Linked DNA regions of Lepisosteus oculatus. The main gene of each other region encodes a partner of the protein of the gene in region 2 in a complex. Links are inferred from orthologs where the notes say so. Each region holds a gene or a part of one and is shown on either strand. Other genes may lie near its edges. The genes, in order: nup205, ranbp2 and nup93.

Region 1 (10,596 bases), on a different chromosome or scaffold from region 2:
CCATTATATATATTTCCTTTATTAATTCAATCCAATCATTCATCGCTGGTAAATCTGGGAGAAGCCACGTTCTTGTTATAGCTTTCTTCCCTGCTGATATAAGGATTCCAAACAAATATTAATCAGTTCGCCTCCAATCAAAATACAGTTTACCAAAATATAAAGCCTCAAATGTAAAGGGTACATTCGTTTCAAATATCGTTTCCAGGGCCTCATGTAACTCCTTCCAGAAAAGCCTTATTTTAGGGCAGTTCCAGAATATGTTTCTTTATGTTTCTTTATTAGTCCTATACAATTTCTTGCATTAGGAATTTGTCTTTTCGCATACCCCAGCTTTTCTCAATGGAGACACAGACACACAGACAGGGAGAGAAGCTTGGGGTTAGAGCGCAGCCATTGTACGGCGCCCCTGGAGCAGTTAGGGTTAAGGGCCTTGCTCAGGGGCCCAACGGAGTAGGATTCCTCTGCCGGCTGCGGGATTTGAACCAGCAACCTTCCAGTCACAGGCGCAGATCCTTAGCCACAGAGCCACCGCTCCGCCCCCATCATATATGCCAATGATCACTCTCCAAACATTTTTTTATTTAAGAAAAAGATCTGAAACCTCCCAACAGCATGTGAATAAAGTCATATATACAGATGACATAGAAAAATACATTTTTTATAACTAACTTTTAAAGTCATGTTATATAGCAGACACATATTTACAAGCATACAGAGGACAAAACAAAATGGTATTTAAAAAGGAAACCTGCATAAAGCTATACACCAACTGTCTTTATCAACATTAACATCCTTTTGGAGTACTCCAATATGTTACAAGATTTTATAGCTTATCAAAGACAGAATGCAGAAAATATGTTAGATAGTTAAAACTTCCTTTGTCAATGTCACTGAAGAGTCAAAAGGGCTCTGTATTTAGATCTTCAAGAAGCAACATCTTATCTGCAAGATGGTTACCACATTTTCGCCCAAAAGTCTAAAGACGTTCATAACAGTGCATTGGAACAAAGTAAAGGTTCGTTCCATGCTGAAAAGAGAAGAAAAGAAACAACAGCCGAAACATATTTATTTTCTTCTCTTTTCAGCATGGAATAATCACTAACTTGTTCCTTTGCAGCCTACGCATGCTGAGGCAGCTACCTACTTTTAATGAGACATCCTGAAATTTTGCTTGCCGTCTTTATTGCCTCCACACATTGTCTAAAGGCATTCAGCATGTGAACGCCGCTGTGACCACACGTTAAACATATCAAGAATTCACACCCTACCGGGTTCTTGAAGAGTGAGATGAAGTGGGGCTTGTGTTTCTTCAGCATCAGGTCCAGGAGATGCACGGCCTCTGGTTGCCTCCTCCAGATGGCACTGACCACTGTCTCCCAGAACTCTTTGAACGGCCCCCACAGACTGGCTCCTAAAAGGGGCAGAGGAGGTCAGCTCAGGCCAAGCAAAACCCATCCCCATCAGCAGGAAGTACAGCAACTAACACCTCTCTCTTTGGGAGAAAAAACCTAGACATCACCTCAAACAAACAAAGTACCGAAAAGACAGTACTTGTGTACGTTGTACTGTAATAATAACAGGTGCCTTTTTAATATTTTTAATTTAGTGCCCCTAACAATTAAAGGTTAATTCCTAACAATAAAAAAGCTGTGCCACATTCCAAACATTTTCATCTGCACTGCATCACCTATTCTTTGCTAATCCTATGTGCTTTATTCAAATTAATATATGGTTAACTATGTATGGAAGTCAAAGGTGAATTAATTTTCGTTCTCCATTTTTACTTCAGAAGAACAGCTTGTGAATTAAGCTGACAGTACGAGACTGAAACAACAAGTGTCTTAATATCAGAAGTGACCTGAGAAGGAAGTAGATGCATCTTGCCCTGATAGGATTGAACTTCAAAAACATTTCCTTGTTTTTTCAATGTTAATTGAAAACAGTGATTTGTAATTAGGGATACAGCTGTCTTTTCTGTATCATGTGTGTAGACTTTATATTGTTACAGCTGTAGGTGACTTAGATTGGTCTCAATATTCAATGTATTTTTATTCACATTGCATACCTTAATATTACCACCCTGTAGCCTGATTTATCTGATAGCAAAAGCTAGACAAGGAACTGGGCTGTTGGTTTGAATTTACAAACCAACACCCCAGTATGGTAAATATGGTAAATACTGTCTATGCAAAATCTTGGGTTTGCAAAATCTCAATTACCTAAAGTTTTTACTTCATTCAAATTAAGCGATTTCTCACTTCACCACCTGATCTTCTATTATGTGCAGGCTTATTACACAGTAATTTTTTGCCTTCTATAATGCAGAGTCCCATTACTTTATGCAAAACTGAAATGCAGCACCCACTTATTTGATCATAATTCTGATTAAGTAATAGAAGTATTAGAACACCTAATCATTTTAGACTTTTCGCCATCTCCCTTGAAACAAAATATCCATCCATTTTCTAACGTCTTTTTCCAATATAGGGTCGCAGGGGAGCTGGAGCCTATCCCAGCAAGCAACGGGTGCAAGGAGGGATACACCCTGGACTGTGAGGCAGCAATGCAAACCACCCTGAATAAAAAATATTTTATGAAATTTTCCCTTGTGATGTGAGCAAAATATAAGAAAAATATTTATGGAACAATCTTCAGAACGTCATCCGAAATTACGTTTTGTAAGATTAAAAACATCAGAGCAGCATGACAGTCTTCTTTCTGTGCGTACAATGTACTCAAAGTATACATATCTGTGCATCTCTCTCGTTCTTTTATTCAGACATTCAGTAAAGATACTACAGACATTTAAAGTGTATTTTGCGTATACAGTAAACCATCAATTTACCGGATTTAAAAACAAATACTACATAGTTTTAAAATTCAGGAACGTCAAAGGTGCTCTGTAGGAGTAAAGTCAATTGCTTATCTGTTTTTCGTAAACTTTAGCGAATATTATAACGTATACGTATGATTTATTAAATGGAGCTTGTATATTTAGGATCAAAAATGTCAAAAATAAGACAAACTATTCAGATAAAACGTATAGTACAGTTTATATGCATACATGTGTGTCTTGGGACAGAAAAACGTCATAATTGATCTGACAGACATTCGTCAATTAAGGACACCCCTTTTCCCCTCTTGTTAGTCCGTTAATCCGAGGGTTTACTGTACATACACATAATCAATAGTACTAATTTAACAAAATACAAGGAACAAAACATTTAACTGCAACAAAAATGATTCCCCTCGCGTGCTAACAACGCGGTTCTATATTCAAGCCTCAAATCGCACAATAAAGAAATGCAAATTCTTAAGAATCGTACACAATCAAGACAAGCGGTCCCGTGCAAGAATAATGGCATTATAGTGAACTGTCAGCAGGTGTCTAAATTCATCCCAATACATTACTTAAGAATACATACAGTACGTTGTCAATCTCCACTGACCAGTTCATGTCGTTACAGTGATTTCTCACTGACGCAAAACCATGCGTCAAGTTGTTCAGAGAATACCCTAATCTATCCAAATAAAAAAATGCACCTTTTCTAAATTTCACATTCAGTACTGGCAAAACTCTAAATAAAGCGAATAACGCTACGTAATTTTCTTAATTACGACTGACAATACTGGCGTTGTTTCTGTTATTGTTTTATATGAATCATTAACAAATCAGGTGAAGTACAATGCAAAAACATAAATAAATATCATCAATCACAACCACACAACCAGCAGGATTAGTTTCAGATTCGTTTCAAAATAGCTCAACGCAAAACTTCCGTCAACAGCAAAGAGGCACTTCTCCCGATCACATCTAGCTACTTTCCTATCCCGACACGAAAAGATGTCCTATTTGAACGACTGTGGGGCGCATGCATTTGTTCTTCGATTGTATTCTTAAGCTTTCTTTTAACACCGCTTCTGCAATAGCATGGCTCATCACAAGAACTAGTGTGCCCATGCAACACAAGAAATGCTGCCGGTGGTATTACTGGTCGCTTTTTCTATAAATATTTAACAGTTATACGAAAATGTGTGTTATATATTTAAGACGCACCGTTATTACGGACTGTTTTTATTACTTTATGTCCTTAATATGATTATTTAATACATATATACATTTTAAAATGAATATACCTGAATTTACCGCCATCTGCGCAGCCATGTTGGAGTCAACTCAGGCTCTATAGACAAGGGGTGTCTCATGCATGCCTGAGTAAATATAAAAGCTATATTCTTAAAGCTGTAGTGTTAAAATATTTCGTCTTCATTGGTGTTTGTTTTCATTTGTGGACAACGAAATAATTTTCCACAGGGAATCAAAGGCATATTTTACAAGTAAACATAATTTGTTGCTCGTTTCTAGTGCCATTCTAAATTTCTGTTCAGGCGGGGTCCAGTATGAATGTCGGAAGAAAGATTAACACGTTTTTTATATCGGGAAATGTAGTCTTCTCCGGCTATAAAAAAATGCTTTATCAATTCTGTAGATTTATAATGCGTGTCTTACAACAAAAACCTATTCAGGCTTTGGTGTGCTTTAGAAAGAAGATATGTTTATATATATATACATTGTTTATATGCGTGTCTGTTTTTGTTTAAAACATAGGGGACATAAATAAGTCCCCTATAAATGACAGAAGAGCTGTGCTGACATTTATAGTGAGACTAATGGATATTTTATTACACAAAAAAAGATTCCACACGCTTTCAATTCACTGTATGTAATAAACAGACTGTACTTCGAAAAAAAACAATTTTGTATTCGTTGTCTTCATGACATAAAACCATAAGCGCTGATTTGTGTACCGTGCCTACAGTGTGGGAACTAAAGAAATATTTCCGGCGCATGGGGACTGTTTTAGCTGCTGCACTATTAGAGGTTGCATGTGAGAACGGAGTGAGCTGTGGGGAAAGGGCAATTGTTTGTTTTTAATGTCTTGATAGTGTTATATTTAGATAGGGTGTTGACGGAGTTGTCTGGTGACAGGTCACTAACTTCCTCCTCATGGCACGGGTGCTGAAAATCTTGCAGACCTTGAGAAATCACTGGAAGAAGTCTGTATTCGGGGTCTGTGTGGTATCCTACGGTGGACACTGGCTCTATGGAAAACACTGGTACATAGCTACTGTGCAATAATTTATCATGTTATACAAAAGACGTGTATAATATATCGGAATCTGGGCATATTTAGAATTTGTCTTAAAATTCGTATTGTTTAACAAAGTAGGGGTCATAATGTCCTTGTTTGCTCAGCTCGGTTATATCTGGGTGCAGTGACATTCGACCCTAGAACAATTAGTATGTTAATTGCCAAGCACTTATCTAAAACAATGTTAATATGATTGTGCTGCTAATGTACAGCATTGTTTGCAACACATATGTAACATTTTTGTAAAAAGAAGTCCCAGATGTATTAAAAACATCTGCAGAATGTAAAAAAAAATGTACCGGTTTCCTCATTTCTGAATCTGTTCTTTCTAGCGACAATCTTTTGCGGCGGGCAGCCTGTCAGGAAGCCCGGGTAAGAGATTCTGTATGTATTGTGTGTACATTTCTGTTTTTGTGTGTTGCATGTAGTTGTGATTGGCTTCGTGTAACGGTTATGGGAAGCATCCTGTAAAGCTAGACAATAGGTATGGATATTACTCTGCAGAAGCATACAACTAGTCTAATGGAAACAACAAGACTAGCTACAAACATTAAGTTTTGGGTTCTGTACTTACATATTGGCACTAGAAAAGAAAAAGTGTCATGGTAAAGAATACACTAGGTTTCTGCTTATTTGCTTTTTGCTGCTGTAGATATGAATGATGTTGAACTGTATCACTATATCTGCTTTTAAAAAAATATATAATAAAAGAGCAGATTACATGAAGAACAGAAGGATACAACACTCACTATTAAGTTCTTTCAAGCCATAAGCAATTTATCTTTAGTTTTGCTTTAACTAATTGTTTTGGGAAAATAAATAGATGGCATTAATCAATTTGGATGAACTAGTGAAAAGAAACAAAAAATATAAGAAAACATGTAATAATGAATAATAATACAAAATAATCTTGGTCATCACAATTTTTAAGTTATTTTTGCAACAATGAAAAAAATTCCAGGTACAGTTTTCTTCCCCCCCCCCCTCAAAAATAACTAGCACTGTCAAGACTGATGTCAAAGCTGTGTTTTTCATTTCTAGGAGTATGGTCACCAGGGGATTCCTGCACATGTTCAAGTGAAAAAAGCCACTGTGATTCTCAACCCTGCAGCTTGCAGCGGGTAAGATAAAGGGACAATCATGCCAAACTACGGAATGCATTTGCAGAAGTATGAACTACAATTCCTTGCTTGTTAGCTGCACGACATTTTAAGCATCTATCTGGGACTTTTCCTTTCCAGAAAAGCCACCAGCCTGTTTGAGAAAAATGCAGCCCCCATTCTGCACTTGGGTGGCATGGAGGTTACGCTTGTAAAGGTATGTAGGTTTTTCTGGTCATCGTATTAAAAGTCTCTGCATTTCTAAAGCTCACTGAGTTTCGGCATGTCAACACGTCTGCTGCTTTGGTCTCCCAGACAGACTATGAAGGCCAGGCAAAAAAGCTGATGGACCTGATGGAACATACTGATCTCCTCATTGTGGCAGGGGGAGATGGGACACTACAGGAGGTACAGCACAGTGTTTCTAATCACTTGCATTTACTGATGGACCTGATGATGCTCCTTATCCATCAAGTCACTTATTCCTGGTAGGAGGGGAGCAAATCAGGAGGCACATGGAGAGGCTGCTTTCTGGATGGGATGCCTGTCCATTGCAGGCACACAGGGTCATTTTAGAGGCACTAGTTAACCTGGCCAGCATTCATTTGGACAGGAGAAGGAAACCTGAGCATCTCTAGATTGCAACATTTGAAATGTGTAGACTCCACCCAGAAGGCTTTCCAGTCTTGAATCAAGCCCACGCCCCCCAAGTATTAAAGCTTGCAAAAATGTTTTTGACTGTGCTTAATTTTTTATTCTGCAAATATTCCAAGCTCATCCAAATACTGTATGTCTACAAAAGGATGAATATGTTAGCTACAGCTCATTTGAAGGTGTCTTTTAGACATTGAAAACATGTCTGATAAAGTCAGATGAAGAATTGAATTTGAAAGGGCGGTTTTAGGAAAGAGTTCTAAAATTTTGCATTGTTCAACATGGTTACATGTGGCAATAGTTATGTTCAACTCAGCTAAAACAACATAAAGAATTAAATGTTATAATATGCATCTTGCAGCATGTAACCATGCTGAGCCAACAAGCACACTGACCCCTTTCTTAGACAATGCAATTTTTAAAATGCATTTCCCATTTCCCTTTCAAATTTAATTATTCATGTTGTCTATAGAGTCTTAAGAGTTTTGATCAATTTTGTAAAAAATAATCGTTTCAGACATCACATATCATATGTGTCACATCTTAATAATGCACAGAAGGTCTTTCACTGATCTTCATAAGTAACGGGGATGTCTTGATGAGTCTGAAAAAATATTTTAACTCTGTTACAGGCTGATTATAAAAAAACTGCCAGCACATGATTGTGAAAAATAACATGACAGCCCTTTATTTTCCTCTCCAGAAAATTAAACTCATACTAACAGAAGAAAGATTGTTCACTTTGGCTCTGTTTGGCTTCCACTGTCAGCTCCAATGCTGCTTTGCTCGGCAGCTTTTTCTGGCTCTTTGTCCATTTTCTGTTTTTGTCTCTCACGTTTGTTCGGATTCTGTGACTCCCTATGAGTCTGAAAGGTTGGCTTCTCTGGTCATTTCTTAGCTACCTTGCGCATCTGCTAACAGTTAGCACATTTAAATAGAGAGGAGCATTTAACAAAATCAAAATCACTGACCTGTTTCGTTACTTCTTTTTGTAGGTGATAACTGGCCTTCTTCGGAGAGCTGATCAGGTGAGGATGGTTTGAGATTGAGCTGACACTAAAACACACACATCAATGCTTTGAGACAGTTACTATTAAGCTGAATAAAGGAAGCTCTATAAATTTGTGCAATGTGTGATGCGACTTAGCATATGATGCATTAAAGAGGTTAATGCCAAAACCAATATAAAGGATTTACTTCAGCCAACCGTGAAGAGTGAAGCAAGTTTAGCATGTGAGTAGATGTCACTATAAGGAAGTGAGGTGACATCAAAACTCATCCGCTGCTGTGATACAGAAAGTATTCTGAAAGCAAACCCACTGTCAAAAATCAGTGATGCATCCATGACTGTGCTGTAAAAAAGGTTGATCCTAACTATGAAAACATTGTGGAGAATGGAGATCTTTCTAGGTGCGAAAGATGATCACTTATCATAAATTGTATGCTGCTCAACACTGGGGTGCGAATTTGCATTAGAACAAAATGAATTCATGTGGGTAATGCATGATTTTTAACAGTTTACATCATGTTTACGGAAGCTGTGAGTTACGTTTACCATGCTATAAGACTAATGAAAGTTTTTTTTTTCCAAAGGCTTCCTTCAGTAAAACGCCAATTGGTTTCATTCCCCTGGGTACCCATAATTCCCTGAGTCACGTTCTGCACCCTCACAGTGACAACAGAGTGAAGTGAGTATCTCAAAGCCTAGACTTAAACAACCCCTGACCAAAATCATGTCAGTTCTAATCTTACTGTTCACTTTTAGTGTTTCTCTCTTGGTCCTGAGTGCTTTCTTCCCTTGCACTGTGGGTTTATTTTTGGTTTGGTAAAAATTGTCAGTAGTACTTTGCTGGTCAGTCTTGATAGGATTAATTAAACGGGAAACTAAATTTGACAGATTATATATGAGGTTACACTGGAGTATGAATTACTTTCAGGGCACACGTGTTGTCATTGTTTCAGACACATCACTGAGGCTGCTCTCTCAATCCTGAAGGGAGAAACTGTCCCTCTCGACGTGCTTCAGATAAAGGTGAGACAGAGCTAAATGTTCCAGCCTCCACAGTTTGTCATTTACACTGAGCAAGCTCTAGACAAAGTCTGAGCGTCATAGGGTTTTCAATGTTTTATACTAGAGCCTAATGCCCACTCGCTGTCTGTTTTGTTCACTCTAGTCTTTGCGTAAATATTTTGACAGGTCATGGTGGGACGGCAGGAAATTCCAAGCCTCACTGTTGTAAAAATTGTTGTTTTACACAGCTCAGTCCAGTAACCTTTGACCAACTTTATTTATATTAGGTAAACCAAAGCAAAATACAGTAACTATCGAACAAAAAGCAAGTGAACAGTTGAACTTGCTCAGAAGTAACAAATAAATCACACTGAAAAATGAACAAATTCAGAAGTGCAGCATAAGATGTTTATATTTTATTATTTAGTGTTTATTGCATCTTATGTAAATTGTATTTTCAGATAATTTCATGCATTGGTTGAAAGGTCATAAAATGCCAAACTTGATACACAGGACAAAATGAAATAACACTCCACTCATATATCCATGTCCTTCGCAGGGGGAGAGAGACCAGCCTGTTTTTGCATTGACTGGGTTGAGGTGGGGAGCATACAGAGATGTAACAGCCAACGTTAGCAAGTAAGCCGTGGATTTTATTAACTGATCCTAAAGCAGCTGAAAACTAGCCATTTCTCCAATAGCTGGATCCTGACAGCCTGTGCAAGTTGTTTTTTTTCTTGTTCAAATTCAGTGTAACCAGTCATATTCTGAGCATAAGAGCACCAAGCACAAAAGCTTTAAAATGCAAAATTAAAAGGCCTTTGCATTTGTAGATTTTTATATTTTTTATACTTATCTTTTCTATCTTACATCTTCATGTATATTTTATTGTTTTTAATTGTTTACCATCTCAGATATTGGTACCTTGGTCCTTTAAAAACAAAGGCAGCTCATCTTTTCAGTACATTGAAGGTAAGGTGGTGTTGCTTCTTTTTTTCTTAACATACAGTATTTATGTTTAGTGTATATAGTACAGTTCAAGTTTATTGTCATTATACTCATATACAAGTATATGGTATACTGAAATGCTATTTAGCTAGCTCTAAGATGATAAGTAGTACAAAAAACAACAATACAATTGTATAGTAAAAGAAAGACAGAGACAACAGGCAGTGTGCAAAACAACAAAAGGTAATAGGTAATGCGCAAAAGATGTGCAGAATGAAATAAAGGATAGATAATTATGGTGAGTGAGCTTCTTGACATGTGAGGTAGAGGTAGATTTTAATGTGTGTTTGAGTTTTTGGTAAGAAAGAAGGGACTGTGAGGTTCAGATCGTAGGTAAGGGAGGCTGGGAGTTTAATAGTTTGATAGTGCAGAGGTAAAAACTGTCTGTGTCTGGTAGTCCGGGCCCGAGTGCTCCGGTACCGTTTTCCAGATGGTAGAGGGTCATACAGTCTGTAGCCGGGGAAGTACAGGCGCTGTTGCGCTTTCTTGATCAGACAGGTGGCGTTGAGAGACCATGTGAGGTCCTCAGTGATATGGACGCCATGGAATTTGAAGTTACTGACCCTTTCCACTTCAGTTCCGTTGATGTGGATAGGGGCATGTTCATTTTTCAGTTTCCTGATCAACACTTTTTTAATGAGTTTTCCTTACGTACTCTTAAATCCTG
Region 2 (11,452 bases):
TCTCTGTAGTGCTGCTGGCTAACAAACCCTCATGAATGACTTGCCTTCAATGGAGGTCTTCACCATTGGATAACCCCTAACCTCTGGCCTGGAGACATTCATGTCCTGCCGATTGATCAGTTCCTCACATTGCTTGCATTGCATGAAAATACCGTCGAAACAGTTGTCAAATCAATCCAGATTTCCTCTTGTGATTAAAAAAAAAAGTTTCACAGCAGCAAGGGTCTGCCCCACGGCCTTGGCAAACATTAGATTGAGCTCATTGCTCACTGCTCCCTGTCCTTTTTGAGGGGGCGGTATGGTACGCAGTCACTTGATCTAGCTTGTCCTCTCACTGTGCTGTGGTCCTCACTATCCAGTTCTCGGGTAGTCAGACACAGCATCACAATTATCAAAGCAAGGCTAAAGGCAACTTCTCATCACTGTAGAGGAACTAAAATGGACGTTTTTTTTATGGCATGCACCTGGAAAAGACGAGGCACACCCGTTGCTGTGTAGCTGGTATTTGTCCGTCATGGCGAAAGAAAACTGGATCTATGTGTAGCCATTTTATGGCATCTGCCTGGCTCAGCTGGCTCGCTGTACTTTTTCATCCGAATTGTTTTACGTTACTGCGTGCAGAGGACCAGATGAGCCGAGGCAGTGCGGGCGGCTTTGCTTCTCAGTTGTGTTGTGCGAAACCTCCAGCGTGCAGTGAAGAACTACCGCTCCTTTGATTGGCAGTTGGGATTGGCTCGAACCCGTGTGCATGTGAATGGCCTGCATGAGGGCGTCTTCCTTGTCGGTTTTTGCAGACGCGTTGAGCAGAGAAGCAGTTGGGAACATGAAAACAAGCCCCCCCCCAGCTCTGTTTGACATCCCTCGCAGGCTTTAATCGTTGCCCCGAGGCTGTTGCAGAAATCGCTCCTACTCAGGTAGCAGCAGTACCTCAGTCTGCCAGTGGCACGGACAGATTTTCCAATAAATGACATTTTTTTTTGTATGAGAAAAACTGCAACAAACATCTCTTCTTGAATATATATAGCAAGGGAAGGCTCTCTGAAAAAAATATTCAAGATCAGTTTGAACACCCATCTACCTATAGAAATCGGTGTACCTATAAAAAGGCCTCCAAGACAGGGCCTACACAAGGCCTTGGGCCTACGAACCTTAATCTGGGCCTGAACTCTGAGTACAAAAGATTATTCCATCCATGCAGTGCAAGTGCCTTCACAGGCAGTAGAAGTGTTTGTAGGTACCGGAGCCCTCCCGATGAGCGACCAGGGTCCGCCCCCTTCGCCCTGTTTTGATGCACGTCTTTGTCATAGTGGCTCCTAGCACTCCGAGGAGCGAAAAGCATTTGGAAGTCGCTGCGCCCTCGCGGTCGCAGAAGCCGAGCGCACAGTTCCTCGCTGGGCACCGTTGGCTCATTTTGCTCGTCTGTTTTCTGTGCAGGAACAAGTTTGTGGAGTTTGACATGAAGCCGGTGTGCAAGAAGTGCTATGAGAAGTTCCCCCTGGAGCTGAAGAAGAGGCTGAAGAAGCTGGCAGAAACTGTGGGGAGGAAATAGACCCCCCACTCCCACCCCAGCACCTGCCCCCACCCCTCCTGGCCGCGGAGTGCAGGCCCGGCGGAGGACACTACCCATGCTGAACACATCCAGGGGGCCATGGGAGTGGCGCCAGCACACCCAGTCTTCAGCTCGATTGTTTCAATAAGAAAACATAATGAAGTAAAATAATTAATGGTCAGAATTTTCATCAGGGCTGACTTCAGTCCTGTCTTTATCTGAGGCCTTCGCCTAATCCTGGTGCTCAAACCTTTACCTTGTGTAGCTTCAAGAATAAAAAGTGCTAACAAAGATACCTAACACAAAGCAATCTTATTCTGTGTTTCCGCATTTAAGCAATGCATAGAACGAGCATTTCAAATATAAACAGCCTGAAAATGTCCTCCCCAGTTGAGTCTTTGTAGAACGTGTGTGTTCATAACATGTTCAAGCCTAAAGGATGATGCTATAAATAAGGGAAGGAAGAAAGGGAGGACTCAGTGTCTTGTGTTCGAACATTTCAAACATTTTTAACGCCCAAAGAGAATTAACAGTTTGGATCTCTGAGAGATGATATGTAATCGGTGCCTCTTAAAATACTATTTATAGCTGGGCCTTTATAAGCTTGCTGATTTTTCCTGCATGGTTTTTGTACCTGTTTGTATCCTTTGTTTCTTGTGCCTTATCAGTTTTGTACCTGTTACATAGTAGTTATTAGCAATAATGTATTTGTGGTCTGCTGTGTTTTGACAGCCTGTATTTTGGTAGTCAGATTTATACTTGTTCTTAAGTTTGAGAGACACTGCCTTAAAAACAGATTAGCCAATACATTTCATGTTTATTTAAACACATCTTCATCTCTGTCTTGATGGAGAAGGAATACTTCCTGAGGGTAAAGAGATTGGAATTGAATATAATTTCTGTTGCTAACCAGAAATTATTCACAGCTATAAACAGCCAAGCATTGTTTACCTACCCTGGAGCAGTGTTACACTTTGTTTACTTTTTTAAAGTGCATTAGTGTGGAAACAAATTAAGACCACCTGACAGCAGTTTTTTTTTTCTTCTTTCTCACCTTTTGTAATCACTGTTTATAGAGTATAGTTCAGTTGATCTATGAAAACAGGTTATTTCACCTTTCTTGCTGGCAATGCAAGACCTCTAAGCAGTCCATACTTTGTACCATCACTGTAAGTTAGTAATAAAACAGTCTGTGAAGATGTTTTGCACAGCATATCAGATTTGACTGACAACACTTGACCTAAACCATTTACAAAAGAACATTTTAACATCTCGTATTCAGATGAGTTACCAGCAGTTAATCCTGAACGTGCTAAAGAGATTTCATGAACGTCAGAAAGATGAATAAGGCTTCTTAAACGCTGCTTTTCTTTTATTAAAACCTCACAGTAAACATGAATTCATGGTACACATTCCATGATAAAATTTGACACTAAAAATGGGTGCAAATAATTGAGACATGAAATTCAAATGTGTACTGTATGAATTACTTTTTGAAGGTCAAGAATCTGAGTCGCAATGTCTTGGACTGTCATTCAACATGTTGCATGTTCTCACAGTTTGTGATGCCACACTTTTGTTTAGAAGAGCTTCTGTGCCAGTCTTGAAATTCTGCTTGTAACCATCACTGATCACTCCAATAAATATTGTACTTTATCTTTATCTGTATTATTCAAGCAGCCAGCTCCAGTATTAAATAAAATGTATATTCTCAATCTCTTGTACAGTGAAGTCATTGCAGATTGTGGTGTTCTAGTATGAGCCGCATGTGTTTGGACATTTGGTGTAACACGTCTGCCTCAGATTGTGCTGGGTGATGCACTGGAGATGTCCAAGTTGCAGTCAGATGCTACTGCCTTTTTCCATGCAGATGGAATTATTTGTTTTTCCATTAGGCCCATTTGGGTTAGCACCATTCATTCCATTCACTCCTGCTCTTTAAGGAACACATGGAGGGATCTGTAAGATTCAATGAATGGCAACTGCCTGGATAATCGGACTCTCGAGCTGAAGACAACCTGACTCTGAAATCTACACATTCACTACGACTCAATCTCCTGACATAGCCCCAAGGGATTGAATGCCATTTACATCCATTCAGCATTTAATGAACTTTATAAAATGTGCAATATTGAGTTTCAATAAAAAAGAACACTTGTGTAAAGTTGAGAAATAAAAATTGTATATCATTTACTTGAAGGGTTAAATGCCTGTAGCCTCTGATCCATGTTCATAATTCCCTAATGTGTTATGTGCATTACTGCACTGTAACAGTATAATGTGATTGTTCTTTTTTTAGTTTGCTGAAATCGTAATTTCCATTGGAATCTATACTCCCAATGTGTTTCGATTGGAGGGATAAATCAGAGGCAAAAGGCATAACTAGTGAAAACCTGAGATCTTCTCGATTCTGGGGGACTTCGTCAGGTGGTCTCTCCCCAGGGGTCTACTTCGTCCGCTGCAGATGTGTAGCCCCTCCGCACAGCAGATCTGGGGAGGAGTATGAAATACCGTCAACAGCTAAATCAAGGGAAGGATTTAGGGAGGTCAGATTATATAAGACCTAACTGGAGTTCACACTTATTTTCTTGGAAACCAAGTAGTCAGGTCCTCAAGTTTATGTTATCTGAAGGATGTCATCATCTACAGAAGTGCTGCCTATCACCAAAATGGGACACTGGTTTTGAGCTGATCCAGAGAAAGAGCTCCACCTACTGGCTCATCACCACTACTGACAGCAGAAACATGATATTCCTCAGTCTCGCTAATCTAGTAATTAATTGACCCTATAAGTAGTAGAAGTCTTAGTAACAATATTTGTCCTCAGCAGAGCAAACGGGTGTGGTTTGTTCTGGACCAGCCAGTTTTCTCATCTGCATTCCACTTGATTCAACATGACAGTTCATTTGCTATCTCAGTTTGCTCCAAATTCACACTCTTTACGAGTCTGTAGCCCTTAAATTAAGTCACCAAGAAAACCTCCAGATTTGTAGCTTTACAGGATATGAAGTGAGTGTCACTACATTAAACGTATAGACAGGACAAAACCAAAGAGATTCGGCTCTTTTCATTTCTCAGTGTAGAATGTTTGAATAACATTTCCATACTGGAGGAAAAGTTGTGAAGAATAAGTGTCCTACTAATTATTACTACACAGTTGCAATTTGTAATCATCTCTGAAAATGAGAGGTAGGGTTGAAAACTAAATGATTAATAAGTGAATGGGCATAGACTACAGAGATAAATGGTCCTTAAAATTAAATGTATCTATAGAGAGTGGTGCAGTGTTTAGCATTGCTGCCTCATGGCACTGGGGCTCTGAGTTCAGTTCTGCATCTGGGGTGCTATCTCTGTGGAATTCTCTAATTGTTCACATGGATTTCCTCCAGATGCTCTGCTTTCCCCCAACAGTCCAAACATATATTGGTAGGTTTATTGCCTTCTGGGAAAAGTGGCTCTGGTGTGAACGTGTGTTTGTGTCTGTGTGTGCCCAGCAATGGACTGGAGTCCTGCCCAGAGTGTACCCTGCCTTGCACCTGGTGCTTGCTGGGATAGGTTCCCGTAAGTAGAATATCCACTGAAAATGGATGGATCATGAGTATGGATATCCATCCATGGATGGATCATGGATAGATGTGTATATAGAAAGGTTTGTTAAAATGTCTTGGGCTTATTCACTTCTATTGCCAGCAGGAAGAATGATTTAAGCACTAATTCACAGCTCTTTTTTGTAGAGGCTTCAAAATAATTTATATTTGAGAAATATCTTAAGTTGACATTTCCTTTGAAGAACTTAGGGAGAAACTGAATTAGGTGGAAAAAATGTGTCACTTTGCCCCATATAGCCCATTTCTACTCCCCAATAGCACCACAGCTCCAGAACAAAACACTGTGGCGTCTAGGAAGAAAATCTTAAAGAGCAGGAGCATAGAGATCAAACATTTTTAAATCGATGGCTACTGCTGTTGATATCTATGTGAGATTTCTTCCTCTAGAGTAATTCGAGTGTTCACTATGTTTAAAACTCTGCAGTGGTAAGACTGCCTATACAGTACATAGGCCAAGAGACAGTGTTGTACTTTCTGATGAGTTACTACGGTGATCTTATAGCAGGTCAATACTACATTAAGCCATTTCTTTCATTTTCATACAACAATTATTCATTTATTATGACTTATTGGATTAACATACCTATTTTCCTTAGTTTCCACAATTATTGACAACAGAATCCTCTGAAAACTCCTCAGTTTTTAATTCAATCTGAAATGTATTTTCTAAGGTACATCACAATGATTTGATTTTAGAAGCATAAAGTGTGGATTCCTGACTACATGTGCATAGTTTGCTGCACATGGTTAAACTGTGGTGTACCAATTCTTGGGATTCTTGAATAATTCTACTTTCCTCCAGCACTGTGTCATTTATCTCTTAAAACCATGTACTGTGACACACTGTCATACAGCACCTCCAACTTTAAAATTAGAAACACTGCCACATTGTGGTCGATCGATTTCCCAATCGACATGAAAGAACTCAGAGTCCAAAAGTTGATTAAATGTTTATTTTACTTTGTATTGTTTTGGGTTAGTGATTTCAGTACAGATTGCCTTAAGAAGAACAATCTGAGAACCAACACTAGAAAAGGAGAAAAAAAATCTGCTTCCAGATTGCAGGAAACAATGAGAAAGTTGATTGTAACGATGCGATTCTGATATTCTACACACAACTGCATTTTCTAGAAATAGTTCTTAAGAATTTTATTCAGAATTGCACCACTTGAAATTTAAGCACAGAGGTCATAAGAGTTACTGTGCTGTTTTTTGGTTTAAACACAATAAATGTTGTAATTTTCTTTTACAAAGGTGGCATTCAAGTTTGTTGAACTAAATGTTGGTCACTGTGCCCTGAAATGTTACCCTTAAAAATATTATATATTTTAAATCGAGTGGAGGGAAATGGCTGCTAAAATTCATAACGCTTGGTCTAGGAAAATATTATTCCAATACTACTGTACTAAATCTCCCAGGCACTGTCCGTCTGCTTTTTATTAATATAGTTGTTTATAAAGGGTTTGCATTACTAATGTATTATATGGATAATTTATCACATGCAGATGATCGCGCATTCTGTCGTGCAGTTATCTAGAAATAAATAGATGTGGTCGTTATAATGACAGTATGTACTGCGACTCTTTCAGATACTTTTGTATTTTAAGAGACATTTATAAGTAGGAAGTTGAACTAAACACAGGAGTTCAATGAACGAAGTAGTCGCACATCCACCACTCAAAAAGTCGTATAAACTTCAGAAACATGCAAAAAATGGATTCAACACCTAAAGCAATAACAAAATAAAGCAGATAAGCGTTTGAAAGCTCCTAGAGGGAAAATATTAGCGATAGCGCTGAATTTGTGAGGGGAAAAAAATCCGAATAGCTTTGAAAACGAAAATAAAACCAATCTTTGCCCCGCCCTTTCAATAAATGGAAAGACTGCGTTTACTTTGATAACACCGATAATAATGAAAGCCAGTGACATCACAGTGTCCCCACAGCGCTACGCCATAATATCTTTCTAGTCTACGCCACCTCCCTCCACTTAATTTTAAAAAGTAATCGCTAGGCCCTCAGGAAGTACGTCTCCTCCTGTCAGCGACTGACGCCAGAGCTGGGCGGGCGTGTAGAGGGCTCCTTCAGCCATTTACTGTCTACGAGTGGTACAGTAGCCGCACTCGTAGGGGAGTTTGAACTAAGAAGAAACCGGGCTGGTTACTTTTTCGTATTTTTCAGCGATTAAATCTCTTGGGTGTATGCACGTTTTATTTATTCGTAACACAACATGCGGCGCAGCAAGGCCGACGTGGATCGCTACGTGTCCTCGGTGCAGAGTTCCTCTCCGTCCCTAAAGGAGGTGAGTGGAAGCCGGCATGGAGTCGCCGCCGGAGTGCCGCGGAGAACAGAGCAGGCCTCGGCGGGCTCAGTAATCAATTTGTCGGGCACGGGATCGAGGGGTGCTCTGTGTTGTGGACGCTGGACACATACGAAGTTTGAACTCGGTGTTGGGCACTGAAAACATGCTTTTGGGAGCCACGCGTAGTTCCTGGTCGAGCCCCCCTTTGCCTAGGAAAGCGCGGCGGGCCCGAATGTTTTGAAAGTGGGAGCGGAGCGCCTTAGAATCGCCGGTCCTGCTTCCTCTGCAGATCATGAGCTGCTTGTTAACTACAGTTTCAGGTGTTTCGTAATCGTTGCTTATGTTTGTGGTACTATTTTTATAGTTGACATGTACTTTACACAAGATCTTAAACTTAATTTTTGGAGGGCCTCGTCGTTTGGTTTGGTGCACTGTTACAACTACTTTCAAATGAAAACTAAATAACTGTGATGCTTCTAGAATTCTAACCAATTTCCAGAGTGTTTCATACGTGAATATTTTGGGTAATCAACTTTTTGAAAGAAAACAATCTGTATGTCTTATAACTTAGAAAACAATTTGGTTTGACTTCTTAGAATGGAAGTAGCAACCAGCTGAAATAAGACTGGATGAAAATAACATTCAAAAGGTTTAAGTACAGTACTCGACCTCACCATTTCGATTAGAAGTGTGTTTGGTAATATAATATTTGATTCTAATTGTGACATTTTGTAAAACAAATGTGAAACCACATTAGAAAAAGGGAACAGGCTGTTCTGCTTTTGATTGAGATATAATCACGATTTTTGCCTCAGGGGAAAATCAAACGTTTATAGATCTTTCCTCCCACCATTTTTATCATGGTTTGCGACACACCTATTCCTGGTGTGAAGTAAGAAATTGTTCTTTGTGCCACCTGGAACATTTTGTCCAGTAATGTATGTCTTGACTTTTTTCCTTAGAGCTTGTAAAGCTCTGTACTTTATAGATTGCTTTGTTAAAACTTTTAAAGAGTGCTGATCTAAATTTCAGTTTAAGTATCCAGTACTGTTTGTATATTTGTATAATTCAGTGATGCTTTTAAGTGACAACATTGTAATCTTACAGTCTGCTTGCAAGTTGATGATTTATAAATGTGATTCGATTTTCAGTCCCTGTTGCCTTTAATAAGCATTCGCTGCAGACAGTCCTTTGTCAGCTGGCTCACTGGTTCTGTTTTTTCTTCTTTCAGAAGCCTGTAAAGGGATTTCTGTTTGCTAAGCTGTACTTCGATGTGAAGGAATATGAACTCGCGAAAAGGTAAGCAGAAACCTTCAGGTTCTGCCATTGCGCCTGGCTGAGGAAGAAGATTTGTATTTAAAATTGTATTTATTTATTTTCTTAGACATGTCTCAGCCTACTTAACTGTGCAGGAGAGGGATCCTAAAGCACACAAGTTTTTGGGACAGCTCTATGAAGAAGAAGGGGACATCGAGAAGGCGGTGGGATGCTACAAGGTCTGAACTGCGCTTTTATCAAGAAATCTCCCCCCCCCCCCCATTTTGCTTTCCAGGCAAAATGAATGAAGAATGAAAGGGACCGTTTTAACCCAGGATATGTTGTAGTGTGATGTCAGCCCTACTGCAAGTCCAGTCACTGGGTCCATAAAAATACCTTAAGCATTGATCAATATCAGTGTTTCATTTATTTATTTTATGGACTTCATTGGGTTAAGCCGGTTTGTTCTGCATACTTATTACATTCAGATATTTAAGGGAAAAGGTATGGAAGGTTAGGTTAAATTGCTTTATGCAACTGTCTGCAAGACTTTGGTCGTTGTGTCCAACAGGTTAAAATGCACAGATCACTGTTGTAAGGAGGTCAGCCCGACAGACATACCACTTAGTAAAAGCCCTTGTATGGCTGTCGGAGTTTGCTGAGGACGTTCGCTTTCCAGATTTATCAACTGGGCAACCCTGAAATGGATGTATGAACAGTCTGATTATGTTAATGTTGAAGGTGTAAGTAGTGCAACGCACTGAACGTTTCAGAAGCTGCAGTAGCGTGACTTGCATCGGGGCCGGCAGAGACTTGTGTTGGAGATGTGTGCAGTTCTGGAGTTCAGTGGCCACGTATTTTATGTTTTGTTCAATGCAGCGGTCTGTGGACCTAAATCCTGCGCAGAAAGACTTGGTCCTCAAGGTGGCACAGCTGCTGTGCAGTAAGGATGAGCCTGATGGCAGAGCGGAGTACTGGGTGGAGAAGGCAGCCAAGTTCTTCCCTGGGAGCCCTGCAGTCTACAACCTGAAGGTTAGTGAACACAGGCGGAGCTCTGCTGGGAAGGAGGCTGCTCATGGCTTAGCTACATATGTAAGCTGGCAGTTCTTAGAATTTGATTCGTGCAAAGGGAGCCATTCAAGCCACAGATCAAGTTCCAGTTAGGCTGGTATTTGCTCATAATGAAACCAGAGCAGAGAATGTTCTGCACAAGTAAGTCACTGTAAAAAGTCTTAAGATTTTAAATCCAGCTTCTAATCACGCAGGTTGCTCTACAGTGGCTGACAGTCAGAAATCGCTTAATTGGTTCTAAGGACATCGGACTTTCACCAATCTGTCACTTGACAAGTCCAGAAACAACTTAATCAGCTCCTGGTGACAGAGTGCTAGTTGTAGAAAATGCAACGGTTGACAAATGGTTGTATTTATCAAAAGTTACATCTCCAAAGTATGTCTTCAAGTGGGTACTGAAATGGGCATGATGAGCTTCGAGGAAAGGATCGAACGTCAAATTCATGTTTTTCCTGCAAGATTATGTTACATCTTGCTGCTGCAGCAGGAAGGGCTTTTGTAGGTATTATTATTTTGTCTGCTTGTTATTTCGTGTTGTCCTTTCAGCTTCTTATCTTCTCACTGAAAGAAAGTAGTTTGCCGTCAAGTGTGACGTTTAGTCCTGGATTGCCTCTTGACCATCATGGGTTTCAAAAGATCTTGTTACCAGTGTCTGATGTTCAGAAGTACTGGGTACTGCTCACCGTTGTCAAAACCCCAGTAGCAAGATGTATCGCGCAAATAGGTGGAGTGGGTTATTGCTTCTATGTGCAATTGTTATATAAGGTTGTGTCTGAATTTGTATGTTCTTGTGTCGCTCAATGATAAAGCACTTTGTTACTGTACCAGTTCTGCTGAGTGACCACAACTTTGTCAGTTGCCAATTACTGAGTACAGTGTTATTTAAGAGATTGTAAACAGGAACTCCTGATCCTCAGAATGCTCCAGCCTTTTCACTTAGGTGCATTACCACAGGAACAGGATGTTTAACCTTGTGCATATTATCCATTTATCCAAACCAGCAATGCAGAATACCTGTGTGCAGTTATGATTAGAAGCTAGATAGCTCTGCAAAGATTAATTGGTGAATGTAAAGTGTTGAAAACTAGGAGGTTTTTATTCTGATTCATTTTAAGCAGCTTTTAAGTCTAAAATAAGTCAGCATCCTGGGAGATCTGAATGTTGCAAAACTGTACTAAAAGGATTCTCAGTTTTGCTGTGCTTCTCTGACTACCCTGCTACAAGGTGACAGAACCCACATGACACATAGCAAAGCAAATGGAACATTTTACTGGGTGCTACATTTTGTTTTCCAAACACACACAAAATAAAAAAACTTTTTGTATGTTTTCGCCTCCAGAGTTTGACAACTTAATGTGCGGATTCTGTCATGTGTTTCTGGATTAACCGGAGGTATCGCATAAGAACACCGTACTGTTCCATGAGATGAATGCAGATCCAAGCTGCAGAGATAGTTTTCGCTCTCATGTTTAAAGTTTGCACATGGAATTGCTCCAGATAATACATGAAGGCAGATGAGAACTTTCTTATTTTCATTCCATATGGATGTCCCATTTCACAGTTCTTAGTACTCGGTGCTGCCAGCATCGATCTCTTCTGGCTTTTCCTTAGGACACTCACCTGCAGTTTAGAAAGGTAAAATTAAAGACTGAGGACTTCAAACCAC
Region 3 (11,030 bases), on a different chromosome or scaffold from region 2:
CAGCCGTCAGCGCGATTAAAGATGTTGGCTGAGCCCTGCGCTCCTGGTCTTGCCCAGTCCCGATATAAACAGCTCGCAGCCTGACAGTAGGCCCGGCGCCGCGTTGCCTAGCAACGCACGACATCTTGACAAAGCTTTGCGCTAATCCCGGCCGGCCGTTTTCTTATTCAACCGCGAGAGGCGAACTAGGAAATCATACTCGTTAATGAAAATATGCAGGTAAATAAAACACACAAAGTTCAGCTTTCTTGGCACAAACACAGAAGACATGACGTATAAGGCAAAAAGTACTCTCGCAGGCTCAATCTCGAAAATCAACTTTGTCGCGCTTGATTTTCCTAGATTAGCCAGGGATGCCCTGACCTAAAACGTGAGGGTACAATTGGACAATTGTTCTATGAGCAAATTCGGACGTGTGCGTTATTGTATTTTTCTTTTAAATGCAGTTTCTTACCGGACGACCCGTCTCAAGCGGCGAACACACTGAGGAGCGTGCAGGCTTAGCTGTGACGTCACCAGCACGGAGACTCTGGGCTCGGGCTCCCGGACTCTACAAGACGGTCGCGAGCCACCGCGCGCCCTCCGTCGCGGCTCCGCACAGCGGCGTTTCCTCGAGCCGGATGGCACGCCAGGGTGGACTGCCAGGCGCGTGCCAGCGAGAGCCTCTCCCCTCCTCCTCCAGCGCGCAGGTCCCACGCATGCGCGCACACCCCGCTCGCCCAGGACCCGAGCTCTCACAACTAGCGCCCGCGCCACCTACAGCCCTTTCTGAAGAGGGAATGAACTTTTTTTTAGATGAACACAGAGTCCTACTTTCTTGGCATAAACATGCACGGTTCTGCAAAAAAGAGAAAAGTCGCTCTGAACTTCAGTAATTCTTGACACTTTCACAACAAGCCTTCGCGCGCTTTTTACTGTTTATTTGCATTTTATGTTATTGAACATGACATGAGTGAAATCTGAACAAATTAGAACTACCGAAACTCAAAGTACTTCTGAATGCAATGCTGCAAATATGTCAGGGGAGAAACAAAATGCGCCGTTTTTCAGAAAATTCTACCACCTTATAAAACAAGTTCGCATATTCTTAAACTGCAGTGAAAACTGTAAAATTGCAGCAATGGGTACAAAGAAAAATACCGTATTCTAAAGCGGATGATGGATTTAGGCAACCACGCAATTACAACATTCAACATATGTCATTACTCGGGATCTGTGGACCCGTGAAGTGTTGTTCTAGACGGTGTTTTCTCCTAATTATCGCCAACCAAAAGGGAGGGGATGAACACGCCGCGAGCCCGGGGCTCGTGCTCTCGCAGTGCCGTGTGCAGAGCCCCGGGAGTCATGGTGACGCAGCGCTCCGGACTCCCGGCCCGCGTGCAGCGGAGAGAGGGGCGCAGCGCTGACCTGACTCGAGCGCAGCTGCGCCAGACAGACAGTAAACACGCGTGTAGGTGGGAGAACAGAATCACCAGACGCCAAGACACCTTGTGCACTGACGAAATAAACACGTCTTTATCTGGCCTTAAATTAATGGGTATAAAGATAACGGGCAAGCGTTTTTCTACCAAGACTTATTACAGTAACTCACACAATTAATAAGTACCATCATTTAAGTATTGTACGTAAAACCATAACTTAGGATTTTATGATTTTTTATATTAGAATTCTATTTTATTAGCATATGCAGCTCACTAGATCAGAAGGTTTACAAAGGATGCCCAAAGAACTTATAATTATACTGATTGATTGTAAATTAATTAAACGGCAATAAATCTTTTGTTTTAGTTATAATCGGTATCAGTTCTCATTATCACATTCCACTGTGCACGAGAAAGACGTTTTTGTTTCGTTTGGAATATACAAATAAAAATAAAAAACATTCTACATCATTTTATTTTCAGGTTTGGGTCTAAGGTTTTGCGATCGATCGTCACATCAGTTGACCATTAAGAAGATCCCCTTATGATCGAGTCATCGCACCGCGTGCACAACAACGCCAGCAGCAGACTGACGACATGGGAATACTGTTTATCCCCTGACGCCCGGAGGAAGGCCCTCAGCCCCGCCGCGGTGAGACGCTTTGCACACCGCCTGGCGACGGGAGCGCTGCAGACAAGACGTGTGCAGGCCGGCCCGTTGTTGACTGCGCGCGCTCCGCTTTGCACTCGGCGTGCCGCGAGCGGCCGCCCTATAAATACCGCGAGCCGCCGGAGCCCGGCACGCACTCACAATCCCCGGAGCCCGACGAGGAGGAAACGCGAGAAAAAAAAATTCAATTAAAAAATGGATCCTCAGTCCTGCGCCTGCTCTAAAAGTAAGTAACGATCTGATTTATAGTGGTTAATAATGTTTCTGACTTCTGCCTTGCAAATAGACGAAGTAAAACGTGATGGAGACGTTGATGTGATGGAAACGGCGTCCTTGGGTTACCTGTGGTGTGATCTATGTTTTATTGATTTTCTTTTGTTTGTTTTATTTTTCACAGCGGGCTCTTGCAGTTGCGGAGACAGCTGCAAATGCACGGATTGCAAATGCAAAGGCTGCAAGAAAAGTAAGTTCTCGCCCTGCTGGTGCTGCTGCTGCTGCTGTAGGCTTGGGAATGGTTTAACGTGCTATAAAATCCTTTCGGAAGCTCCAGTGGCTATAGAAAGCGCTGTGCTGCAGAGCTGGAGGTCTTCACCTGCACTGGAACAGCACCGCTTGGGCTCTTAATATGGTCTCGCACCTATCAGAACTGTTGAAGTAGGTCAGCTCTTTAAACAAGATGTCATAATTATAGACTGAAAGGGGGAATATAACTTTAATTTCGCAGTAAAACTACGAAAACATGAAAATGCTACGCTATTAAACCATGTATACTGAAACAAAGTGTTGGTTACTATAATAACTAGTTTTAGTGAAACAATGTAGCTGTAGCTCCTCTGTGCGTTTGATTTACCAAAACAATGCGGCTCAGGTGGGCGTGCGCCAGGTTAAGACTCGCCGCTACAGACAGCCCTGAAGTACTGGCAGTTCTATTTTCCTGGTGTTCATTGTATGTCCTTGTTTTTCCCTCCACAACGTGGAGAATAACGCGAAAGAGTGCTCCGCGCGAACGGGTGGCCGGTAACCCACGCGACCTAACCGCCGGTTTTGTGCCCGCAGGCTGCTGCGCGTGCTGCCCGTCCGGCTGCGGCAAGTGCGCCTCCGGCTGCGTGTGCAAGGACGGCAAGTGCGGCGCGAGCTGCTGTCAGTGAGCACCTCGCCCTTCGTTTTCCCTCTTGTATAACTGCACTTGAGAATCTGGAAATGTAATGTTTTGTACGTCCTTTTGCTTTAGAAAATAAAAAGATGTCGTTGATTGCGTTCATTCTGTTCAATTGCTCTATCGAACAATGCTGGTTTATTTTAAACCAAACGCGCCCTTCATTGGGGATCATTAAGATGGTGGCTATAATGATAATTCCTTACACTTCTGGAGACTCCACTCAAAGCACTTTTCAGGTAATGGCGATCCCCTCCACCACCACCAGTGTGCAGCCCCACCTGGATGATGCAACAGCAGCCATAGTGCACCAGAACGCTCACCACATATCAGCTATCAGTGGGGAGGAGAGCAGAGTAATGAAGCCAATTCAAGATGGGGGATTATTATTAGGTGGCCATGATTGGTAAGGGCCAATGGGAAGTGTGGCCAGGACGCCGGCCATGAAGGCTGTTCGAGCCTGGCGTGTTAAGGCAGTCCTCCAGCTCCATGAACTACAGCGCCCGTCAGTCGGAGCTCCTGCTCTGCTCCCGAGAGGACTGACACCCCCTGCGCTTCAACACCCTTCCACCTGCGCTGGTTTATTTAATTCGCAAGTTACTTGAGTGGCACCTGTATGATGAGGGTTTTTCTGCTTGGCTCTGAGATCTTGTTAACCATGGAACACAATAGTTAGAACTTCTCCCCTGTTAATTAACATCAGAAAACCACGAGTTCATATTAACCCAATTACCTGGGCAAATAAGGGTTCAATCATGTAACCTAGACTGGGAACTCCCTGAAATTGTATCAATGCAGTAGTTACGGAAGATGCATCTTAAATATTTACCTACAAATCATTCTCATAGAAGCATAGACATCCAAAAGACCGGGACAGCGATTCAACGAGTGTGGAGCGAGCAGGAGCAGGGGTACGAGACTACAAGAGTGTGGATATCGACGATCGAGTAGCGATGACAAAGCACACAGCCCAGCTGGGCCTCTCGCAGCCAGTCTCCTGTGTTCAATTCAGCATTTTTCAATTGACAACTGTAATTGTTTTATAATATTTTTGGGGGAATTTAATTTTTTGTGCGCAGTTCAATTCCCTATGTGGGTTGATTTCATAACTTGTGTGCGTGCGCACACGCGCACAGCTGAGAGGGAGCATTGCTCCTTGAGCATTTTACAGAATGTTTCCTGATCTCCTCTGTGAAACTACAGTCTGAACTTGGCTTCCACAGACAGCCCAGGGAACCTGCAGAGCTTTGCTCTTCTAGTAAAAGGAAATATTTTGAATACTATGAGAAGGAAATAATTGTATAGTATATATCTCCTCTTAATGCAACATTAATGTATCATGATGTTCCACTATGACCAATAAAACAGTTATCACATGTTTAAGCACTGTTAAGTTATAGGGCTCTGGTGTGAAGTAGTGACCTTTAAAATTGTAATTTAAAAGAACTACTGAAGTTTTTGCTGAAGAGCACAGCGTTATGCTGGTCAGTGTTGTTGCCTCAGGAGATCTCGTGTCCTGAGTTCAGTTCTGACCTGAGATGCCTGTGTGTGGTCTGGCGGGCTCCTCTAGGTGCCCCAGTTTTCTCTGTGACTGCTGGATTAGGCTGTGGCTCATTGTGACCCAGGAATATTCCCTTACGTATGCCTTATAATTATTCAACATTATAATCCTCAAGGAGCAAACAGAACTCATATAGATCAAAAGAAAATGTCAATTGAAATAAAATCATTCATAGTCCAAGATGGAATGAAAACCGGATCAAGCTTGTGCCTCAAGAACCGAGAGTGAATATATAGATCAGGATCCAGCTGCTAGCGATAATGACCTCCAAGATCTCATGGATCACCGACTATCTGACAGGCAGACCACAGTTTGTGAGACTGCAGAACTGTGTGTCTGAACAGGTGGTGAGTAACACAGGGGCTCCTCAGGGGACAGTTCTTTCTCCGTTCCTCTTCACCCTCTGTGCTTTGGACTTTAAGTACAACTCAAAGTCATGCCACCTGCAGAAGCTCTCAGATGACTCTGCAATTGTAGGATGTATTGAGGGTGGGCTGGAGGAGGAGTACAGAGGACTGATTGACAGCTGTGTGGAGTGGTGTGGGGAGAACCACCTGCAATTGAACGTGGCAAAGACGAAGGAGTTAGTGATAGACTTCAGGAGGAAGAGGGTCCAACCTACTCCTGTGTGCATCCATGGGAGTGGTGTGGAGATAGTGGACTCATACAAGTACCTGGGAGTGCACATTGACGATAGACTGGAATGGTCTAAGAACACCGAGGCCAACTACATGAAGGGTCAGAGCCGACTCTACTCCTTGAGGAGGCTCAGGTCCTTCAATGTGTGTAGTAAGATGCTTCATATGTTCTATCAGTCAGTTGTAGCGAGTGCAGGTGTCTAAGCAGCGGTGTGCAGGGGCTGCACAGGTTGAACAACCTCATCAAAAGAGCAAATTCTGTCATTGAGTCTGATTGGGTCCCTTGGAGGTAAGATAAGATAAGATCACTTAATTGGCCACATACAATTTCTTGTATTAGGAATTTGTCTTTTTGTATTCCCCAACCTGCTCTCCATGAGACACACAGACAGGGAGAGAAGCTGGGGGTCAGAGCGCAGTGTCAGCCATTTATACGGCACCCCTGGAGCAGATGGGGTTGAGGGCCTTGCTTAGGGGCCCAACAGAGTAGGATTCCTTTGCGAGCCGTAGGATACGAACCGGCAACCTACTGGCGCAGATCCTTAGCCAAGGAGAAGAATGGTGTCCAAAAATGGACAACACCTCCCATCCCCTCTATGACACGCTTGTGAGAATGAAGAGCACGTTCAGCAATAGGCTGATCCACCCGCGGTGCGACAGGGAGTGCTAGAGAAGGGCATTCTTGCCTTCTGCCATTAGACTATACAACTCATCCACTGTGTGTCTGGGCAGGGGAAGGTTGACTAAACATGAATTCTCTGTTTACAGCTGGTTTTTCTGTTTACAACTGATGTGCAATATATGCTGGTGGATTTGTGCAATATATTTATACTGTGCAATACATCTTGTGTACTGCAACTCTGCATACTCCATTTTTTACTGCACTTCTCACTGACTTTATTGTATTGTTGTATTATTGTATCATTTTGTTACACTGTGCTGTGTTGAGTGTGCCTGGCTGTTGTTGCACTGCAATTTCTGCAATTTTAATAAAGTATCTATCTAATGGGTTGGTGCACGTAATCGCCATTGCGGCTCACAGTTCTAGAGCCAACATGGCGTCGGCCTCACGACGCGCAAGTGCGAAGTGCGGTGTTTGTCCTCCCCTGTCATTCAATAAAGTTATATTGAAGGCGCTGAGGCCTGTGGGAGCAGTGGGGTCCAATGAGAAGAGGGTTGAGGAAGTGCCGGGAGGAATGTGCTCCGCCGAAGGAGGGATACAGTTAGGCGAGCTGCTGTCAAAATATACATCTTTTTAAACGCGATATCGAATAACTTTACTTAAGTCTAAGGTAGAAGGTGAGTAAATCCTCGTATATGATGTTTCTAGTTCTGACAGAGGATCACTACGGCCTGTTTTTTCTCGACATCTTAAGCGCCGAGCTGGTAATACGCACGTTGGACAGTGGTTACACTGCGATTATTGTCCGTTATTGATCTTAGGCTTATGTATTTACGGTTTTCCAAACAGCATGATAAATTGTAAAAGCCTTTTTTTTCCCTGCACAAAATAGTTTCAGATTTCTGATTACGCGCTGTTTTACTTACAAGTCTGGGAAGAATGGCCGGGTTTCAGTCATTCAAGACACCCAACTGCGCTTTTGCTGTGTAAAATCTGGGCGCTGAATACTAATATTTTTTAAAAAATTCCCACGCTGATCTGAATTGTGGTTTGCAGGGGCCCCTTCTTTCAGTTTTTAAAGACGGGTGTATGAAGTTCTGTTATTTTGATGCTCCATCGGTGCCCGTTGTGATATCGGCCATTGTACGTTCATCGGTCCCCCCTGGACCGAGGAGATGCCTGTAGGTGACTGTGGTGTCAATAAGTGGATAGTGTTCGTCCTGAGAGCGATGCGGCCCAGAGCTCCCGCCCTCAGCTCGTCCCGCCGCTCCTGCCTGCAGGCCGGCCATGGACGCGGAGGGCTTCGGAGAGCTGCTGCAGCAGGCGGAGCAGCTGGCGGCCGAGACGGAGGCCATCTCGGAGCTGCCCCACGTGGAGCGCAACCTGCAGGAGATCCAGCAGGCCGGCGAGAGGCTCCGGTCGCGCACCCTGACCCGCGCCTCCCAGGAGACGGCCGACGTCAAGGCGTAAGTGCTGCGGCGCTCGGGGGGGGGGAATCTGAGCTCCTCAAGCTTGTCGTCTTGAAAAAGAGCAGCATTGAAGTAGTCTTGTTCCCCAGACCTGTCACTGTCCCTGTCTCCTGATGCCTGTGCCCTGTTCGCACTTCTGTTCATGCTTGCCCTGGCTTCCCTGCCAGAGGGCAAATGTGGTTACAAATGGTACTCGTCTTCAGGGTTTAAGGAGGAAGACTTGCCCAGTTATGAGTCTGCCCTCCTGCCATAGTGCTATTGGTTATGTCATGTAAATGATCTTCTCTTTGCAAATGTGATGATGAAGCTGATAATGTGCAACATTGGGCTGCTTGCTTTAGTAAAGACAGAAACCAGAAATAAGACTCTTAACAGTATAGATACATTTTGTATAGCTCATTTCCCTGACACACTTCAGCTGATTCTTGCCTCTAATGTTCTACACCCATAACCCAAACAGAGAGCGAGAGCTCAGAGTTGGTTTGTGTCCACACTATGCCCTGACTGGCCTGTCTGTTTCAGCTCAATCCTGCTGGGATCCAGAGGACTGGACATTTTCCACATCTCTCAGCGCCTGGAGAGCTTGAGCGCGGCAACAACGTTTGAGCCCCTGGAGCCCGTGAAGGACACGGATATACAGGTACCGTGCTGGTCCTGAGAGGGATCCTGGGTCCTGTGTGGGTCTGGTGATGTGTTACTGGGTGAGGACTGCTGTCTGCTTTGCACCGCTGTGCAGACCCATTGTTAGAAGGCCTTGTATCCGTTCTTCTTGGGTACCATAAAGTCCTTAGACTTAGAAGCCAGAAATGGCTTCTGTAATTGGTGCCAGGTGTGGAAGGCAGGAGAACTAGTCTGTTCCACCTGGATGCTCTTGGGTTTGTGTCCTTGGTGTGGGTGGTGCCACGGGTCTCAGAACTGTGACCTTTGGACACTGGGGGGTGTTCAGAGGTTCTGCTACTGCTCCTGGGCGGACTGATCAGGTTCAGTGTCTCCTGGCACTGGGCTAGGCCCGCAGAGGATCCGGTGCGCAGTGCCCTGCGGTTCAGAAGCTGCCAGTCCAGTCTGGGTCGTGTCACTAGCGGGTTGTGACAGGGAGTCCCCCAGCAGAAGCACACAGCTGTCGTGACGGCTGCCAGAATACTGCTGGCGTTAGCTGACGTGATGCAGCAAGGGCTGCTGGGACCTGCCTGGTGCCCAGCAAACATGCAGTGACATCAGGAGGTGATGTACCCCCCCTGCAGCTGGCATGGACTATCTGACATGAATCACTTCCTAAACTGGATACAGATAGATGATAACATGGTCGAAAATTCCAAATCAATTTAAAGGCAACAATTTTAACTTAAATGTCTTTCTCGTTAGTCACAGCTCCTGCAGATGGATGTTTGATTTATCCGATTGAATTCACACATGTGGTTTGACTACAGGTTTAGTCAATGCTGTGCGTTGACAATGCTTCTGATCTGTTGCTTTAGTTGCGTACACTGTCGCCCTTGTGTGGGTACAACAGGGCTCTGTGTGCTTCTTTGTGCTCAGTGCAGCCCAGCTTGTGTTTGGAAAGGGAGTGTTGCAGTAACATCACAAGGTTTTGTCTTTTGTCACGGAGAACTTGCTTGTGCTTGCCCCCTGCCTGTCCTGAGTGACCCTTCTTTTGCTGTGCAATACCCCAAAATCAAGCTGGCAGTTTGCAGCCGAACCCCAATCGCCGCCGAGCCTACCTGCAGTCCGGTGGGACCTGTTACGCCTCGATGCTGTGTCTGTGCTCGACCCGGGACGAACACAGTAGTGTGAAAGGGGCATGTGGGACCCTGAGATGAGGCTTCACCAGCCTGGAAAAGGGCCCTTCGTGCTCATCTCGGGGTCCTTGGTTGTTGGAGTGTTGATATTTAACACTACGGTTGTAACAGGGTTGATATTGTAGTGGTCTGATTTTGTGTTTTTGTTGTGCATAGTGGTACTGATTTCTCACAGCTGCGCTGTCCTGCCTGTCAGTATGGAACAGAACAAGCTGAGTTTCATGGTGTTGCAGTCCGTGGTGCACTGATGCTTCAGATGGTGCCTCTGGCCCTCGTGCTGGTAGAGTCCCGCTGAAAGAAGGGACCTCTCTAGACGTAGAGTTTGCTCAAAGCAAAGCAAAGCAAAGCGAAGCAGGAGATTTGTTTCGATTCAGTAGCTGCGAGATCATCTGAAATGAAATGAAAACGTTTGGAAAGGGAAACGTGAGCAGCCGGTTGCTCTCTAAGTGGTGCTGGCTTAACTGACCAAGTGGACCCCCCAGTCTGATCGAGGCTGCTGTTGCAGGCCTTCACAAGCTGCTGATTTAGCAGTGACCTGTAAGACCTGTTGGATTTTGGCTCTCCAGGATTAGGGTTGGACAACCTTGTATAAAAGGGTTAATAGATGATACAGCGTATCATAATATATTTACTTTTTTTACTCCTTTCACGTTTCTCTGCTGTGTTTTAGTTACTTCATTTCTATTTATATGAGAAATAACTGGCCCTGAGACATGTGCTTGAATTGCCCTAAGGGGTGCAGTTTGCGTGTCAATTTTCTGGGAAGAAGAGGAAGCGCAGAGTAACAACTGTGTTGCTCCTCAAGGAGAAAGTGAGAGGATCAGGCTTGAAATTAGACCTGAAAGTGAGGCGTCAACAGTTTGTGGTCACTGGCTATTGATCTCTGCTGCGAGGCTTGGGCGAAACCGAGATGGAAGGGGACGCTTGAATTAAGCGTAGCGCCTGCGTCCATGCCCACGCCAGCGTGTTACAGCGAGCTGATGCGGAGATGTGGCCAGATCACTCCGTATCGCTCGGAGGGCTAGGGTGTGGTGGTGTTCAGATGAACTGCCCACGGGCCCAGGCGATGTCCTTGAGTTCTGTCATCGAGCACTGCGATCACAACCCCCCCGACCCCCAGTTTCCTCATCGTGGGGTCCCCCCCCCCCCGCCAGCCCACTGCTGTGGTTCTCATTTCTGTGAGGCGGGGGCGGCCAGCCTGCGAGCTGTCAGCGGGGCGAGGCGATCAGTCGCAGGCCTGGGAGGGGGGGTGATCACACTCTTCTCCCGGAGTCTTTGTGTGGCTGCGTGGGGGATGGTGCACGCATGCTAATGAGTTAATGGGAGCCTCATGCAGCTGCCAACTTGGATTCATAAACTGCTGATGTTTCTGCAGAGCTGTGCCATGTTTGTTCCTGAATGCTGCAGCTTCAAAAACGGAAACGTTCCCCCCCCCCGTCTCGGAGGGTGTGGAGGCTGTGCCGCAGCTCTCAGACGCGGGTCAACGCGTGGAGTTTCTTTTAACAAGATCTGGATTGATTTTCAAAACCAGAATGCACTGAGTGGGAGGACAGGGAAGAGGGCGCTCATAAAACCTGAATCCAGAAAAGGGCGACGATCATCTGACCTTTTCTGGACGAAGAGTGGCTGCAGTGATTTTGGGATGCTGGTAAACTGCACCTGGCCGCAGTCTCCAGGCAGGAGAATAGAATACATGT

Evidence for each region.
Region 1: ranbp2 (region 2) and nup205 share a complex: the UniProt entries of both Homo sapiens proteins name them as parts of the nuclear pore complex. The link is inferred for Lepisosteus oculatus from reciprocal best matches to the Homo sapiens genes RANBP2 and NUP205.
Region 3: ranbp2 (region 2) and nup93 share a complex: the UniProt entries of both Homo sapiens proteins name them as parts of the nuclear pore complex. The link is inferred for Lepisosteus oculatus from reciprocal best matches to the Homo sapiens genes RANBP2 and NUP93.

The regions. Positions count from the first base shown.
Region 1 is NC_090702.1:8,696,853-8,707,448, forward strand, and holds the start of nup205 (nuclear pore complex protein Nup205), read right to left. Parts: upstream 4,199-10,596; 5' UTR 4,169-4,198; coding exon 4,141-4,168; intron 1,415-4,140; coding exon 1,272-1,414; intron 1-1,271. Other genes in the region: agk (acylglycerol kinase, mitochondrial), read left to right, coding at 5,012-5,121, 5,489-5,528, 6,198-6,277, 6,398-6,473, 6,572-6,664, 7,906-7,938, 8,504-8,598, 8,873-8,942 and 2 more. UniProt on the Homo sapiens protein: Plays a role in the nuclear pore complex (NPC) assembly and/or maintenance. May anchor NUP62 and other nucleoporins, but not NUP153 and TPR, to the NPC.
Region 2 is NC_090708.1:24,299,094-24,310,545, reverse strand, and holds the start of ranbp2 (E3 SUMO-protein ligase RanBP2), read left to right. Parts: upstream 1-7,174; 5' UTR 7,175-7,386; coding exon 7,387-7,458; intron 7,459-8,689; coding exon 8,690-8,757; intron 8,758-8,842; coding exon 8,843-8,954; intron 8,955-9,594; coding exon 9,595-9,747; intron 9,748-11,452. UniProt on the Homo sapiens protein: E3 SUMO-protein ligase which facilitates SUMO1 and SUMO2 conjugation by UBE2I. Involved in transport factor (Ran-GTP, karyopherin)-mediated protein import via the F-G repeat-containing domain which acts as a docking site for substrates.
Region 3 is NC_090715.1:1,141,289-1,152,318, forward strand, and holds the start of nup93 (nuclear pore complex protein Nup93), read left to right. Parts: upstream 1-6,593; 5' UTR 6,594-6,745; intron 6,746-7,348; 5' UTR 7,349-7,355; coding exon 7,356-7,534; intron 7,535-8,059; coding exon 8,060-8,177; intron 8,178-11,030. Other genes in the region: mt2 (metallothionein-2), read left to right, coding at 2,287-2,317, 2,489-2,554, 3,148-3,239. UniProt on the Homo sapiens protein: Plays a role in the nuclear pore complex (NPC) assembly and/or maintenance. May anchor nucleoporins, but not NUP153 and TPR, to the NPC. During renal development, regulates podocyte migration and proliferation through SMAD4 signaling.